Linked DNA regions of Styela clava. The main gene of each other region encodes a partner of the protein of the gene in region 2 in a complex. Links are inferred from orthologs where the notes say so. Each region holds a gene or a part of one and is shown on either strand. Other genes may lie near its edges.

Evidence for each region. Proteins that work in one complex are often made in the same cells at the same time.
Region 1: mediator of RNA polymerase II transcription subunit 13-like (region 2) and mediator of RNA polymerase II transcription subunit 12-like share a complex: the UniProt entries of both Drosophila melanogaster proteins name them as parts of the cdk8 module of the Mediator complex. The link is inferred for Styela clava from reciprocal best matches to the Drosophila melanogaster genes skd and kto.

Annotation. Positions count from the first base shown.
Region 1 is NC_135258.1:12,868,591-12,875,701, reverse strand, and holds the start of mediator of RNA polymerase II transcription subunit 12-like, read right to left. Parts: upstream 3,090-7,111; 5' UTR 2,740-3,089; coding exon 2,662-2,739; intron 1-2,661. UniProt on the Drosophila melanogaster protein: Component of the Mediator complex, a coactivator involved in regulated gene transcription of nearly all RNA polymerase II-dependent genes.
Region 2 is NC_135255.1:4,004,841-4,012,902, forward strand, and holds the start of mediator of RNA polymerase II transcription subunit 13-like, read right to left. Parts: upstream 3,068-8,062; 5' UTR 2,851-3,067; coding exon 1-2,850. Other genes in the region: uncharacterized protein LOC144424452, read left to right, coding at 5,765-8,062. UniProt on the Drosophila melanogaster protein: Component of the Mediator complex, a coactivator involved in the regulated transcription of nearly all RNA polymerase II-dependent genes.

The DNA.
Region 1 (7,111 bases), on a different chromosome or scaffold from region 2:
AACAGTGTTCCCATATGTTATATAAAAGTGTTCCTATCAATTAAAATAAAAAAGCAAAATTTTGTATCAGACACCATAAAACCATGGGAATTTTAAAAAAGTAAATGCAATATGCTTTCTTCCATCTTCAATTACTACCAATTTAATATTGATTGGTCCAGAAGTTGCGATGGAAATTTTTCCACAAGAACAACAACTTGATTCACAGGCCAATAATAAATCAACCATGTATCTAATGAAAATTAGCAGTAAATAATGATCCTGCTATGTTCATAAATATACATCAACTCAGACGTAACATTTAAATGAATCTTAATAAACATCTTATTCGTCAATACCAATGAGCTATAAATCATAAAACTAAATAGTTATGAATTTGAGTTATAACAAATTAATATTAAAATTTGAAAGCTTTTTATTTACAATGACCTTCAACTAAAACAGCAGTTAATAAAATGACAAGAAGCAATAATTTACTTTACATTTTCATATCAGTTACGAGATTTTTTTTTCATTTTTGCAGTGCCACACAAAATGTAAACTTGCCCTCCTCAAACTGCAGTATTCATTTATTATGATGTTATTAAAAAATATAAGAAAAACGGTAATTTGATTAGCTCTCCCAGCTATCCAAGTTTATTTTTATTCACTCATTTCAATTGTTTATAAACTATTTTGCTTTCAATGCCAATTCCGCGATATTCTACAATATCAGTAACACCTGCAATCAATATTGCTGATACAGATAGTGACAACTATATATACAAATAAATACCACTATATCGGAACAATGTAAATTTATACATAAAGTAGTGTTTGTATCATTTATTCAGTAAAATTAGTGTAGTATTTAAAGTAGCTAGATACTTGGAGTCAGAAACAGGACTAAAGTCAGGTTATAAACTTGCTCGTCAGAACACCCACTTTCATTCCGAGCTACCCACTATATTATCTATTATGTTTGTTTTATGCACCTTTTATTCTACATAGTATGCTGCATAGAAATCCTCAAAAAGAAGAATGATTGTAAATAAATACATAGTATATGCATATAAACAATCTTGGTAAAATGACCTCATGGGGAGAAGAAAGATCTTAATCATAACGTGGATGGACGACTACTCGTCCCTCACCAGTACAGATATTGTATGTTTTGAGTTTGCAGTACAAATAATTTATTTGAAAGTATTGATTTTTGAAAACAAATCTACAGATAAGTAGCAAGTAAAAGTTTTAACAATAACCTGGTAAAATACAACTACCGGTATATAGTAAAATAATGAATCACATCTCAATCCTGCACCCCCTGCACATAAATCGAATAGCTTGACTATGAAGTTGAGTATATCGTAGAACACGACTACTCCGATATGAAAAAATTGAGCATAATAATTTTGAATAAAACAAACTAGAAGAAGGAATTGCTCCAGAGTCATTTTTTATTAAACTCGAAACTTAGGCTTATAATAAGTTGTCATTGTGCCAGACCATATTTATACCAAATATTATATATTCTGCTCTTGTACCTCATACTAGAATATGTGCTTGGGAACCCAAGGTGCTAGGGGATAAAATAGTCTTGACCGAACTAAAGTCTTTAGTATTGAGTTCAGTAGCCTACATAAGTACATTGAGTAAAGCAGAATATGAAGGTCCTAAATATATAAAAAAAATAAAAATTAAACTCGAATCCACAAGGCAGTCACAACCCATTCCCATTTACTGGACTCTACCGGACTAGAAACCGCAAGAACGAAAAATATACGATTGATGGTAAATAATTGGAAAATTCATTTTCAAATGGCATACAGATATCAGAATATTAAATGTCGCCAAATTCTCGCTAGTTATCTTAGATCAAGTCAATTTCGATGCGATACGACGGAAACGAACCCGCGTGAAAAAAGAATAACAGCATTGGCAAATTTTACAATAGGATAAGAAAAATGTATTTATCCCAAAGGAGGGGAAAGCCAAAAAGACGGCCTGATCACATGGTGAACCCCATCCTCTCATCGGGTTTCCAGTCCATGTCGGGTATGGGATCAGTCAGCCAGTTATTCGTTTCATATGCATGGACTTGATGTTGAAGGTGGATGATGAAGCTGCAACCGACCATCGGTTTTGCGGACCACCCTCTGACACCAGGTAGTCTAGCAATCCTTTCGCACATAATTATCCCACATTAGATTCAAACCCGCAAATCCACACGGTCTTACAGTGTAAACAGAGGTGTGGTGGCAAGCGTATTTCTAACATTTAGCACGATGCGCCACACCACCAATAAGTCGAGATGATCTGACTAATCAAGCCTCAATATTTTTTATAATAACCGAATCTATAAGCTTTTGACTGGAGCACACAATAATAAACCCAAAATCCCAATCAACATAATTCTTATGATATTATTATTATTAATGTAGCCCTACCGGTATGTGTTATTTCTAATAAACAAATTTTTTGAAATAGTTAACAAACTTTTGTCCTATAGACTCAACAACCCAGTATTACAGACATACACCTATAACTAATTAACTCCCATTTTTTTATTGTCTATTTCAGAGAAATTGGTTACCTGCCTGTTGACTAAAATTGATGAATTAGAAAACATATCTATAAATGTAATCTGAATATATGATTAAAATATATTTCATAACAAACCTGCGGATAAACATCTGGTGGTCCAATCCTCGTCCGAATGAGTGCCCTATTTTCCAATATACTATTCAATGAAGTCATTTCTTGTGAAGATTCAAAATTCCACTCTTTCAAGCTTTAAAAATGTTGTCTCAAATTCTTGCTTGTTGGCGGGATACTAACTAGGGCTTTTCGACTTTTGTATGTCCATATTTTCTATTATCCCGCATATCGTCTTGATAATATAGTCCCAATAAAAAGCCTACATGTTCTGCGGGTAAGACGTTACAATTCGGCCATCAAATAGCGACTTCTACAGCGAGCCTGCTTACCGCAATCCGCACTTCTGATTAGCAGACTGACGCCGTGCGTGAAAACAGATGAAATTTCGCTACGCAAATGCGTAAACAATAAGAGGAGTACCCGCACAATTTTAATTGTATAAATTTTCCAAAGTGTATGTCGTTTTTCAACAAACAAAAGATAAGCATCTATGTAATAGTATTTTTAGCAATTAAAGCGAAGAAAAGGAAGAACATTCAGGCACACTTCAAAGTTTAAAATAAAATTAACGTGAAATATAGTGTCATAATAAATTTGAATTGACAAAAGTTGGAATTGGGTTGTCGCTGTTCAGCTGTAGTTAAAACAACTAGATGTTTTCATCCTACACCTCAACGCAGACAAATCATGTCGAATATATCTTGTTGTGTTTGAGAGACGTTACAGATATAGCTTGCAAATTGACGTCAATTGCTGTACGCACAGACGTCGGCATCGACGCCAGTATCACGCCTGCGCCATACTGTGTAGGTCACGCTTCATTGATCATTCGCACACACCAATCTAAGGAGAATATATTTGCGGGAGCGCTGAAGGCCATTTTTTCATGATATTTCAAATCGCATTTAAACGGACAACACGTTGTTTTTTGACGCCGTTTATTGCGTTATCTTGTTTAAAGTTTATTAATTTCTAATGATTAAAAACGTATTGATCATATGGCACACGTCGAGTAAAAGCAAGATATACTTGACTTCAAACACTATATTAATATGAATTAGTTTAGTCCTTTTTTACCCCAAAATTTAATAACTTAAGCTTCCACGGAACTACCCGCCACTACACCGCCTGCCATTTGGGTTTTAAACTGAACTCGCGATGTCAATTTTGATCCTGTTTAATCGTACAATATTTACTCCACCATCCATATACCGCGTTTCCCCGAAAATAAGACAGTGTCTTATTTCAATTTTCTTCCGAAAAATAACACTAGGGCTTATTTTGGGGGGATGTCTTTTATTTTTATTAGGAGAATTACGAGATTTTCAAATATACAAAATATGAAAACCTATATCCATTTACTTATAAATAGCACGTTTTTAATTGAAATAACTGCTAAACATATATTAATAACCCTTTAAAACGAGTAGGAAATATTTCTCGCTATCGATTAGGTCAAAAAAATTGGCTCTATCGACTAGGTGTTATTTTAAGAAAAGGGCTTATATTAAAATCATTTTTTAATTCATACTATGTCTTATTTTCAGAGTAGGTAAATAACACGTTTTTATTTAAAATAACTGCTAAACATATATTATTAATCCTTTAAAACGAGTAGGAAAGATTTCTTGCTATCGATTAGGTCAAAAAATGGCGCAATCGAATAGGGGTTATTTTAGGAGAATGGATTATATTGAAATCATTTTTAAATTCATGCTGGGTCTTATTTTCGTGGAAACACGAAAGTATCAGAATCTTAAAATTCTTCTGTTTTGGTACAGACGGCCTGCATTATCAGGAAAATAATTTCATATTTTTGTACGAGTCGTACGTCTATGGGTTATGACCCTTCATATCATTTTCGTATATTCATGACTAAAACGGTTGCAATCTATTTAAAATGTGTGATAACGGTCTGGTTTCGCATTTTATAAGCGACTTATTCATAACAGCTAGAGGTGAAAAAAAATACTGGTAAAAATTAGGGCGCGCTCCCGTAGTGTGTAAACCAAGATGGCGGACACCGGAACGTAGTATGTGTACCAGGTTAGGGTTAAGCCAAAATTTTATTACAATTTTTCTTATTTTGGTTCTACTACGAGTTTGAGGAATAGCCGAGTGATTTCCGCAGTATTTGTACCTGAAATTGTGGCCTGACTCTAACCTGGTACACATATGCTACGGTCCGGTGTCCGACATCTTGGTGCAAATACTACGGGATTACCAAAATCAGAAGAACGAAAATTGGATCCAGTGGCGATTCAATTGGATCCAGTGTGACAGGTCTCTATAGTGAATGGATTATGTTAATTGGTCAAAAAATGTCCTTGAGGGTCCATTTTCGTGGAGTGCGAATATATTTTTGTTTTTATTATTGTTATTGTCTCATTCAGGCATCCTTGTGTCCGTAGTATGTACAGATCCAAAGATGTTGGGGAAAAAGAAAGAGAAATGGATTATTAAAGATTGTACAAATTATAAGTGTTTTGGAAGCCCCAATTATCAAAGACTTGAGTTACGACTCGAAGTTACCCTAAAATGGTTCGTGGTGATAGGATAATATAGGATTTACATAGTTATCCGGGGGAGAGGAAAACCGATAAGATGACTTAATCATATGGCGAAACACGACCTCTCGTTGGTCCCTGTGGGGTATGAAATTAGTTAGCCATTTACTTTTTTTCAAATGTATGGACTTGATGGTGGGGGAAGCCGTAACCGTTAACCACCCTACGGTGGCGAGGAGTTCAGAAATCCTCTCGCACATAATTACGGACAAGGCCTATAACCAGTGGTGGGATTCAGCCGGTTCTATAGAACCGTCTCACGGGATTTCATGAGATCAGCGAACCGGTTAGCATTACTGGTTACTGTCAATGTTCTGTTTGCAACAGAACCGGCTGATAAATATGACTTTTGTGAAGGAACCGGCTAAGAAAAAATTTGAATCCCACGACTGTCTATAACACATATATATAGAGAGAGATTGTTTATGTGTAACAAAGGGCGCATACGGGGAAAAGAGCGGTAACTTGCGGAAAACTTTCTTTATAACAGCTAACAACGGCTCTTAGTCCGAGTATTACTAAAAGGAAATGTCGATTTGAGGAATATTCAACAAATGCATTATCAGCTTCATTTTATGATGCGGGTTGGTTCACGTAATTTCCTTTTATTGACAAGATTGCAAAAAGAAGTTTTGCAGGTTCCCACAACACAGTTTATTTTGTAACAAAGACAGCCTAATATTTTACATCGAGACTTCAAGACATTTGCTTTATATTTCTTCATAATAACATTATTATTAAAAGTTATCATAAAAACTATAAACACGCTATCGGCGAGCGAATACTCGTTCCATTGTTCGGATTTTTTCACCCCCGAACGGACAAACCGCCCCAACATCCAGCCTGCCATTTTAATGAAAGAAACGTCGGTGAGTTAATCGCGGACGAAATGGCCAGCCCTGGCTGTAAATTTATTGCACCGCTTGACAATGATCCATAGAAACATGAATAAAGTCCAGAACTCGCGGAATCTTTCCAGATCACAGTATAAATATCAATTCCTGATTTATGTTTTCCATAACTCGCAGTTCTGGTTGGGCAATTTGGCATGAGGCGACTCCCAACTATAATCAGCTTGGCGATATCTTCCAATGAATATTTCGCTAATTCGGTATTAAGTTTGGCAATCTGAACAAAATTATTGATATTTCGTGGAAAATTTTTATTTCTTTGTACAAATTTTTTATTTGCTAAGTAATGTTGTTTGTTTTCCAAGTGATGTATCTCCGTCTTCGGTTTTTTTTTTCTGATTTTATTTAATCTCTGTGGTTGTATGTATGCGCAGGTCGAATAATTTAATACTTTTGAGTGACCACCTACAATTTCTTTCGACAACAGCTCTGTAACTAAATTTGATTTGAACCTTACCTTTAGGTTTGCTCTCCTAATTTCGTAATCTGTTTTATTTAATTGTATCCAACAACTATTTTATGCCTGCTATGCTTATTATGGAGTCGAAATGAACTTACACTTACGTAAGCTGAAAAATTTGCGCATCAGCTCAACAATGAAAATAAAGTCAATGAGATACCGATGCCCTAAAACGCTATGTAACTATCTAAAATACAAACTCATAATTTTAGACTTTTTTGAATATCAATCAACATTTACACAAACTGTTACCATGAATAAACAATGCCGTTATACCGCAAAAAGAAGCATTGGGAGAAAGAATTGATTGAAATATAACAAACTTCAGATTAGAAGAAAACAAATAAATTACATTCTGGAACGCATGCAATTTCAGCACAAGGCAGAGACAAAAAACATTTGAAACTTTGTAAGTAGTATGCTGATTTAGGACATCAAATTCAGTCAGTAGTAGACGTACCATAGCCGTCACACACCAATGAAATTTAGCAAATAGACATTGAAAAGATCACGGTTAATATATAATATCAGAT
Region 2 (8,062 bases):
TGTCATTGGCTGTCTGCTTAAAGGATTTTTCTTGTACACTTCATTAGTTTTAGCTGAAACATGCACAGGCATGAAGTTCGTCGCCATTTTATTAGCTAAAGACCCAAGAGTTTCTACTGAAACTGCATCACCTCCATAGTTGACACTCGATCCAGCATTGGCAAAATCTAATTCGTTATTGATATAAGGTGTCTGATACTTTGCAACATCTCCTTTCATAGTAGCAATGAAAGATTGACTATGTGCAGCCTCATAGGTATTTGAAAGCATTCGAGTGGGATCATATTTGTTTGGATTGACTTTATTTGAAACCATTTTGCTTCCTGAAATATCATCTGCAGCTGCAGTACCCATGTCATCATCTTCAGAATCATTGAACATGTTGTCTAAATCAAAAGCTGAAACTTTTAAGTCACTTTTATCCATCAATGAGGTACCTATTTGTGGCTTTTCAACAATGGGGCCTTCATTAAATAATGACGGTAACCCTTTGGTGAACATACTACCTGGTTCTTGCTTTAACAGATTACTAAGATGACTCGTCTTCGGATTCATTTCAATATTATTGCCTTCTGTATTTTCATTGTTAGACCACATCCCGGTAGGTTGCTTCAAACTTATATCAGCAGTGAATGGCGAATTAAATGGAGCAACATTATCTGTATCTTTTTCTTCATCTTCAAATTTATATGGATCTGATAATACCGTCATTCCAGCAAGCTCACCTGTGATTGAACCTAGTCTAACGTGAGGTGGATTAACATGATCCATGCCTGCGGTCATGTTATTATTGTATGAAGGAGCTGATGAATTTTCAATGTCATCATTGGCAGTGCTTTCTTCATCCACTTTCATTTTTTTCGAATCAATACTCCATGCCAGTTCCTTTTGAATATGTTTTATATTATATTTCATACGTTTCAAAGATCTAAACGAGTTGCTGGATGCACTAGTTTCAGATTCCAAATGTTCTGGTATCAGAGATGGTTTTTTTGGTTTTCCAACTATATTTGCCATCCCTTGTAGTTTTTGCACTTGTTTGGGCAACTTAATTTTTTTCCAAACTGAAACATTCTCTTTAATTTCCCCTACTGGTGCATTTTTGATTGCTTCATCAGTGATAGTATATTGAAATCCAGGTTCTATGGGATCACTTTGAAAATTTTCACGAACATTGGGAATGTCATTATTTTGAAAAAACATAGGCCCACACATACCTTGTTGATCCAATGATTTTTGTTCTTCCTGATTCCATTGCGGATAATTTACAAAACCAACTGGCTGAGGAGGATACATCATTATCATAGAATTAGATTCAGGATTCTGAAAGTATGGTGCAACAAGTTGTTGATTAACAATGCCAGGCGGGGTTGGTTCAGCACTTGTGTGATGAAATGGAACTGTTGCTGGTTGTTTCTGTTTGTCTGATTTACGTCTTCCATCTGATTGTTGATTGCTGTCATTCATATATTTTAGTTTTCCAGTCATCTGGCTCAATTCATCATCATTTGGAGGAAAATAATTCAGTCTTTGTCTCGCTTTTTTGAATTGGCTACAAAGTTGGGGCCATTGTGATGGGCTGTTGTCATGAACAGTTAGAGGTTCAGGGTGATGTGGATGAATTCCATTTACTTCATTTTCAAGTCGCATCTCAGATGAAACGCTGGCATTGACGACTCTGGAAATTAAGCTCCTAACCAATGAGCTTGTACCCTCTGGGTTCAGTGATGTCATACCATCTCTTGCAGATTCTGAGATCGGAGATGTTGCAACTTCATTAACTGATAACCCCATGCTGTCTTGAAATGATCCGATTGAAGTGATATCACCTTGGTGGCTTACACAATCCATTGCTCTTCTATCTGCATTCCAAGGTCTACTTTCGCCATCCTTCAAAGCAGAATGGGTGTCGACAGGTACAAGTATATAAGCAGAAGGATAATTTGTTCGAACACCAGACAAAAATACTTCAACAACTGGGGGCACAGGCTGCTCAACATTGTCATGATCATCATACGTTTGTCTCTCATACATTGATATGTCAATAGGATAAAAGCCTTTCCATTCATCAATTACAGTTTTCACTGCTTGGTCATGAAGTGATTTATAAACCAATCCGGTAACTGAAGCACGAAGTCCAAATGGGCTTAAAATCACCGTTTTGGAAACGAGATTATTGGAAACTTGGATCAAATATTGATTGTTCAATCGTTCCACTGGCTGATGTGATCCTATATCAACAGTGGCACAGACGGTGTTTTCACCTCTCAAAAAGAAAGTGAAAGATATAGAAAGTCTATCAGATTTATCCACATCTGTGTCTCTTTTAAATGGTCGTAAAAACCATTTTCCAATTCTTACAAATCTTTCTGATAGGAGACACCTTTCAATTAGATTGTGAATTGCTTTGAATAATAGTGTTCTACATTCATAAGATAATCCAACATCTTCCCATGAATCTTCTGATTCAAAAGTGAGCCCAACAGATCTACCTACTGCTTCAACTGATGGCTCATTTTCATTTCCCCACCAAAATATCCATAACTCTTTCTTTAATTCAAAATTAGATCCTGAGTTCATTTCATCTTCATTGAACTGATGTGGGTGGGTCTGAGTCAAACTTGGAGTGCTTTTCTTCAAGCTGGGAGCTTTTCTCCAAACAGCTAGTATATCTTGTGACAAGCAGTTGCTGAATGCCACGAGGACGGGGTCATCAGATGGACTAACTGGGAGAGATTTCGGCCCAGAGAATGTTCTCCATCTCAACCCTGTTAAATCTGCCAGAGAATAGATAGACGAGTGGCAATCATCAAGTTTTCCACCATTGTTGGCTGATGTAGAGGTATTCATTGTGTTGGTAAGACACTACAGCACTATGACATAATGTTATTGTACTTAGTACAACAACGTAATGAATTGGACTATATTATTGAAAAAATCAAAAGATAAGAAATTGAAGTTTTGCTCAATTCCTCTGATTACCCAGCTTGGGTTCGCAGATTTGAATCCTGTGTGGGGTAATTATGTGCAAAAAGATTGACCCCTCGCTGTCGTGGGGTGGCTCACTTGACCATTGATCGTTACGACTCCCTCCGCCATCAAGTCCACGCATCTGAAAACAAACACTTGAAATAACTGTCTAACTAATCCTTTAATCCCATACCGTACCCATATACCCAAAACGGACTGGACTGGTGGTTCGCCATATTATGATTAAGTCATCTTATCGGCTTCCCTGTTCAACGGGATAAATATGTTAATCTTATCCTAATAACAGAATACAGGAATAGTGTTTATGTTACACAAGTTCTGAAGTTTGACGCCCGAACGATATCGGTTCGTGTCTGTCTTTTTTATTTTGAATAAATGTTTGTGTGTTGAATGTGGGTAAACTGGCTCATGTATATTTACATGTATTAATAGTATATGTACTTACTTATAACTGTATAAAGATACCTGGATAAACCTCAACCTCATGAAACTCAGAGACTTGAAATATTATTTTCCCATATTACCGGTATCTTACTACTGCTGTACTATATTCAGATATTAGTCTACGTTATTACAAATTCATTGAACTTTCAAAATAGAAGTGCAAAAGTTCGAAACAATTGTTGTATGCGTACTATACCGTATTCTGATATTACTATGGCCGTATGGTCTGATGGTTGAGTACATTGATGTTATAGTACGATATCTACCTTGAATATTCTGTTCTTCATTAGCATATTTCAGTATTTCTGAGTTTAATAAATGCGCTAGACCCCAAGGCTGGAAGGCGATTTGGTAAAGCCAATGGTGGGGCTGGTGAAACGGGTCTCGTGTAGTTTCGTGCCGCAATAACTACTAGTGGGCGTGGCGTAACAATTTTTGCATATATCATTCCCGACCCCTACCTGAGCACGTCATTCAAAAATTACGTCACTGCGACGTCACAATCGCGAGATAGAGCTTGCCAAAAGTATATTGACGATCACTTGTGAGGCGTCACGGCCCCTGCGAGTGCGTAACAAACTCTCTAGCGACAGCAATCTCTCTCGTATCGGATCATTTCGCAGAGCCCAAATTAATACGGTACTATGCAATATCTGGGTGCAAAATAAATATGAATAAATGCCAAGCATTTTGCCTAAGTCAGTGGCGGCGCGTCGATAGGCGCAACCGGGGCAATGCCTCGGTTGTTTGTTCGGTATAATAAAAAATATTCGAAAAATACCTCAATATCGGTTGCACAGACTGTCTACACTAGCCATATTCTCCCGACATGGTTCATTTTTCGCTCGCAAAGCCTTCGCCGAACGTCGACGGGGCGACGCCTTCTGGTTCGTTGGTTGCTTGGAGAGTTAATAGTTTCCTCGCCTTCGTTTTTGTCACTTGTTTCGCTATTTGAATCAGTTAGAGACCTTTAGTCCATTTGCTTTCGATTTTCCACATTCCTTTTGAGCTCCTCACTTTTTTCCGGCTTCGCATTTCTTAGCCTTAGACCTCATAATGAATAAGGTTGATGCACTACTTCGCACTCCGTTTTCGCAGCTGCCGCTGGAACAAAAATTAGAGGTACAACGTCTTGGGCCTTATCAACCAAAAAATTGTTCACTGGAACAATCCCATGACGGAGGAAAGCGTCGGCGTACATTCTGCGCAGAAACTTGGTATAAAAAACACGAATGGTTGTGTTACAGCGAGGACAAAAATGCACTTTTATTGTTTTTATTGCCTACTTTTTGCTACCGCCCGTGACTCACGTTGGTGTAAATTTGGTTTTAGAGATCTTAAACATCTTTCTGAGCGTGTCAGGGATCATCAATCTTCTATGGAGCATCTGAACAATGCAGTAAAATACCGAACATTCGGAAATGTTAATATTGCAGCACAGTTGGATGAAGGACGCGCGGTTTCTATTCGTCGGCACAACCAAAACGTCGAGAAAAACCGCCATGTTCTCGGTCGATGTTTTGAAGTTCATTGGTTGTCACGAGCTGTCCCTCCGTGGGCACGATGAACGGGCTGGCTCTTCTAATAGAGGGGTATTTTTGGATATGGTGGAATAAACCGCATCCCTAGATACAGTATTGAGAGATCATCTTTGTAGCGGTCATGATTCTAAACGGTGACCGCTATTATTATAACTAAACTGGCAACGGTAACTTAGGGCATTGAACCCTGACCATTTTGGTGTTGGCGGGATCTCTTTCGGCGTGAGCCGCTTGGAGGTAGGACGTATAAATTTGTATCTTAATCAATCGGGGGACTTTTGGTATTATTAATTAGGCGTAGTTTAAATTTACATCATATAATTCTATTTTCCTGTTTCATATAGTTATTATTGGTCCCTCCTGTGTAATAGCACTGTATTTTACCGGATTACTGTTTGACAACTATTTCATCATTATTTGACTACTATTTTGACTCAACAATAAACATCTTTGGACAATCGTTTCGAACTTTGAAAGGAACTCAGACAGAACCGCGTCATCAAAAATAAAGTGCCTGTACGATCTATTTATTCCAATCACCCTAACGAGCACATCGCCATCGTATGGTGCTGAGCCGTTATAGTAAAATACATATCTCTCGGGAGGACATTGTCAAAATCTGCAAGTGTTGCAGTAAAGTATTGTGGGGTGTACCCACAGACCCAACACATTGTCAAAGTCTGCAAGTGTTGCAGCAAAACGTCATATAATCAGTAATTTGTGCTGCTGAGAAGGCCGTGTAGGCCTATTGTAATCAGCTGCAATTAGATACCGTAACGACCAACACCATGTCAACAAAATCTAGAGAAAGTCAAATTACTGATATAAAAGATGATTTGGATTCCTTGTCACCATGTGAAACTTTAAAAAGCAAACCAATTAAAATGTTCTCTGCTGCTGACAAGTCCGGCTCTAGGCCTACTAGCAGTGAAAATAGCTCTAGCGTCCAACTAGACCAAGGCACAAGAAATAGTGACTCGTTGAAAGCAGCCTTCACTGAAATGGAGAATGACATTTTAGAAGCCATAGCCGACTGCAAATTGTCTTTCGTCACCTGCAAAGATGGTTCTGGAATTCAAGCGGTGTTTCCAAAACTAGTGCAGTATAAGTCAAGTTTATCTTCAATTGTCAAGGATATGAAGAACATTTTATTGGAGACTGATTTGATTAATTTCACACGTCGTTATCAACAATGTATTGAAAATATTATACAAGTTTCTGAAACTGCTAGTGCGAAAATATTAGAACTAGATGAACGATCCCAATGTTCTCAATCATCTCGCCCAACTTCAAAGCGGCATCGTTCTGCTCGAACTGTAAGCAGCGTGAAATCAACAATGTCTGGGGAAAGCAAAGTTTCAAGCAAAAAAGAATTCTTCGACTTGCAAAAAGATGTGGCAGCAATGGAGGCTACGAAAGGCATTCGTAAACAGCAATTTGATCTTCAGATTCAAAAAGAGATAGCGGAGAAAAAAGCCAGGGCGCTAGTTTGTCTTCAAGCTGAAGAGGCCGAAAATCCTTTCAGTGTTGATGTGGATCTAATGAGAGGTGCAAATAATTATTTCAATTCAAATAATAGTTGTTTTAATGCAAATTCAAAATCATCTCCTATTTTAAATGAGGCCCCAGCGTGCATGGTTATTGATCCTCAAATTGAGCTAAATAATTCAGATATTTCTAATCATGATCAAGTTTCATCCACTGTTGTTGATATTCCCTGCCAAGCATCGAGCTATAGTCCTGTAATCAATCCCCGACTGCCCATTACTAATGTTAGTGCTTCCCAAGAGGCCGTTTCCACTGGTATTGTAAATGTTGGTAGCTTTTCCTTGCCACCCCCTAATGTGAATTCATTCCCATCAGTGCCTACTGTTTCTAATGTATCACAAAATGTTTTTAATGTATCCAGAGTTGCTAGTGCTCCTTTTAACTGTTGTACACAAACCACCACTGTGTCTGCCAATTCAGGCAGCTTACCAACTCATTGTAATGATAATAATATCTCTGTTCCCACTGTGAATAGTGCTGCTCTTCCTCCACAAACCTGCAATCTTTCCCATGACATGACCAATTTAATGAGTAATATTTTATCAGTCCAAAGGGCTCCTGTAGCCAAAGTTAGGGTGTTTGATGGGGATCCATTGCAATATCCACAATGGGAGAGCTCATTTAAAAAGCTAGTCGAGCAAAGGTTGCTTGATGACGCAGATAAAATGAATCTGCTTGAACGTCACTTGACAGGTGAACCCAAAAGTATGGTTGAAGGTTTGTTTTTATTACAATCCGAGAATTCTTATGAAAGAGCTAAAAAGGCCCTAAAAGATCGCTATGGTGATGACAGTGTCATTAGTGTAGCCTTTAGAACAAAACTGGCATCATGGCCTAAAATTGGTCCAAATGATATAAAAGGCATGTTGGCATTTTCTGATTTCCTTCAGCAAATTGTTGAGGTTAAAAAGGTTGTAGAGGATTTAAAAATTCTCGATTTTCCCTCAGAGCTATGTGTGTTAATCAAAAGAGTTTTGCCCTCTTCATTGTTTAACAGGTGGAAAGAGTCAGTTTATGAATGGAAGTGTAAGTTTAATGTAAACACATCTGATAACTTGAAGGTAAACTGCCCCAAATACCCTCCATTTGAGGAGTTTGCAAAATTTATTTTAAAGCGTGCCTCAGTGATGCATTGTCCTGAGATGACAGTTTTTGATGAGAATCTCAACCCGTCCAAGTATAATACTGAGCAAAATAGTAAGTCTAATCATTCGAGATATGGTCATCGAATGAATAAAAATTCCTTTAGCACTAATGTTTCACGAGATAGTTGCTTGCATTGTAATGGGTCTCACAAAATTGGTGATTGTCAAACATTCTTACGAATTTCTTTGGTAAAAAGAAGGAAACTGTTCTGGGATAATTTTTTATGTTACTCTTGTGGAGTGAAAATGTCCAAGGGTCATAGTGCAAAGTCATGCAAAAACGTGGCTTCTTGCAGAAAGTGCAATAAGGGCCATTTGACATGTTTTCATGTTGACAATAAGCCAGAACAGACTGAAAGTAACCAATCTTTCTGTTCTGAAGTATGCTCAATA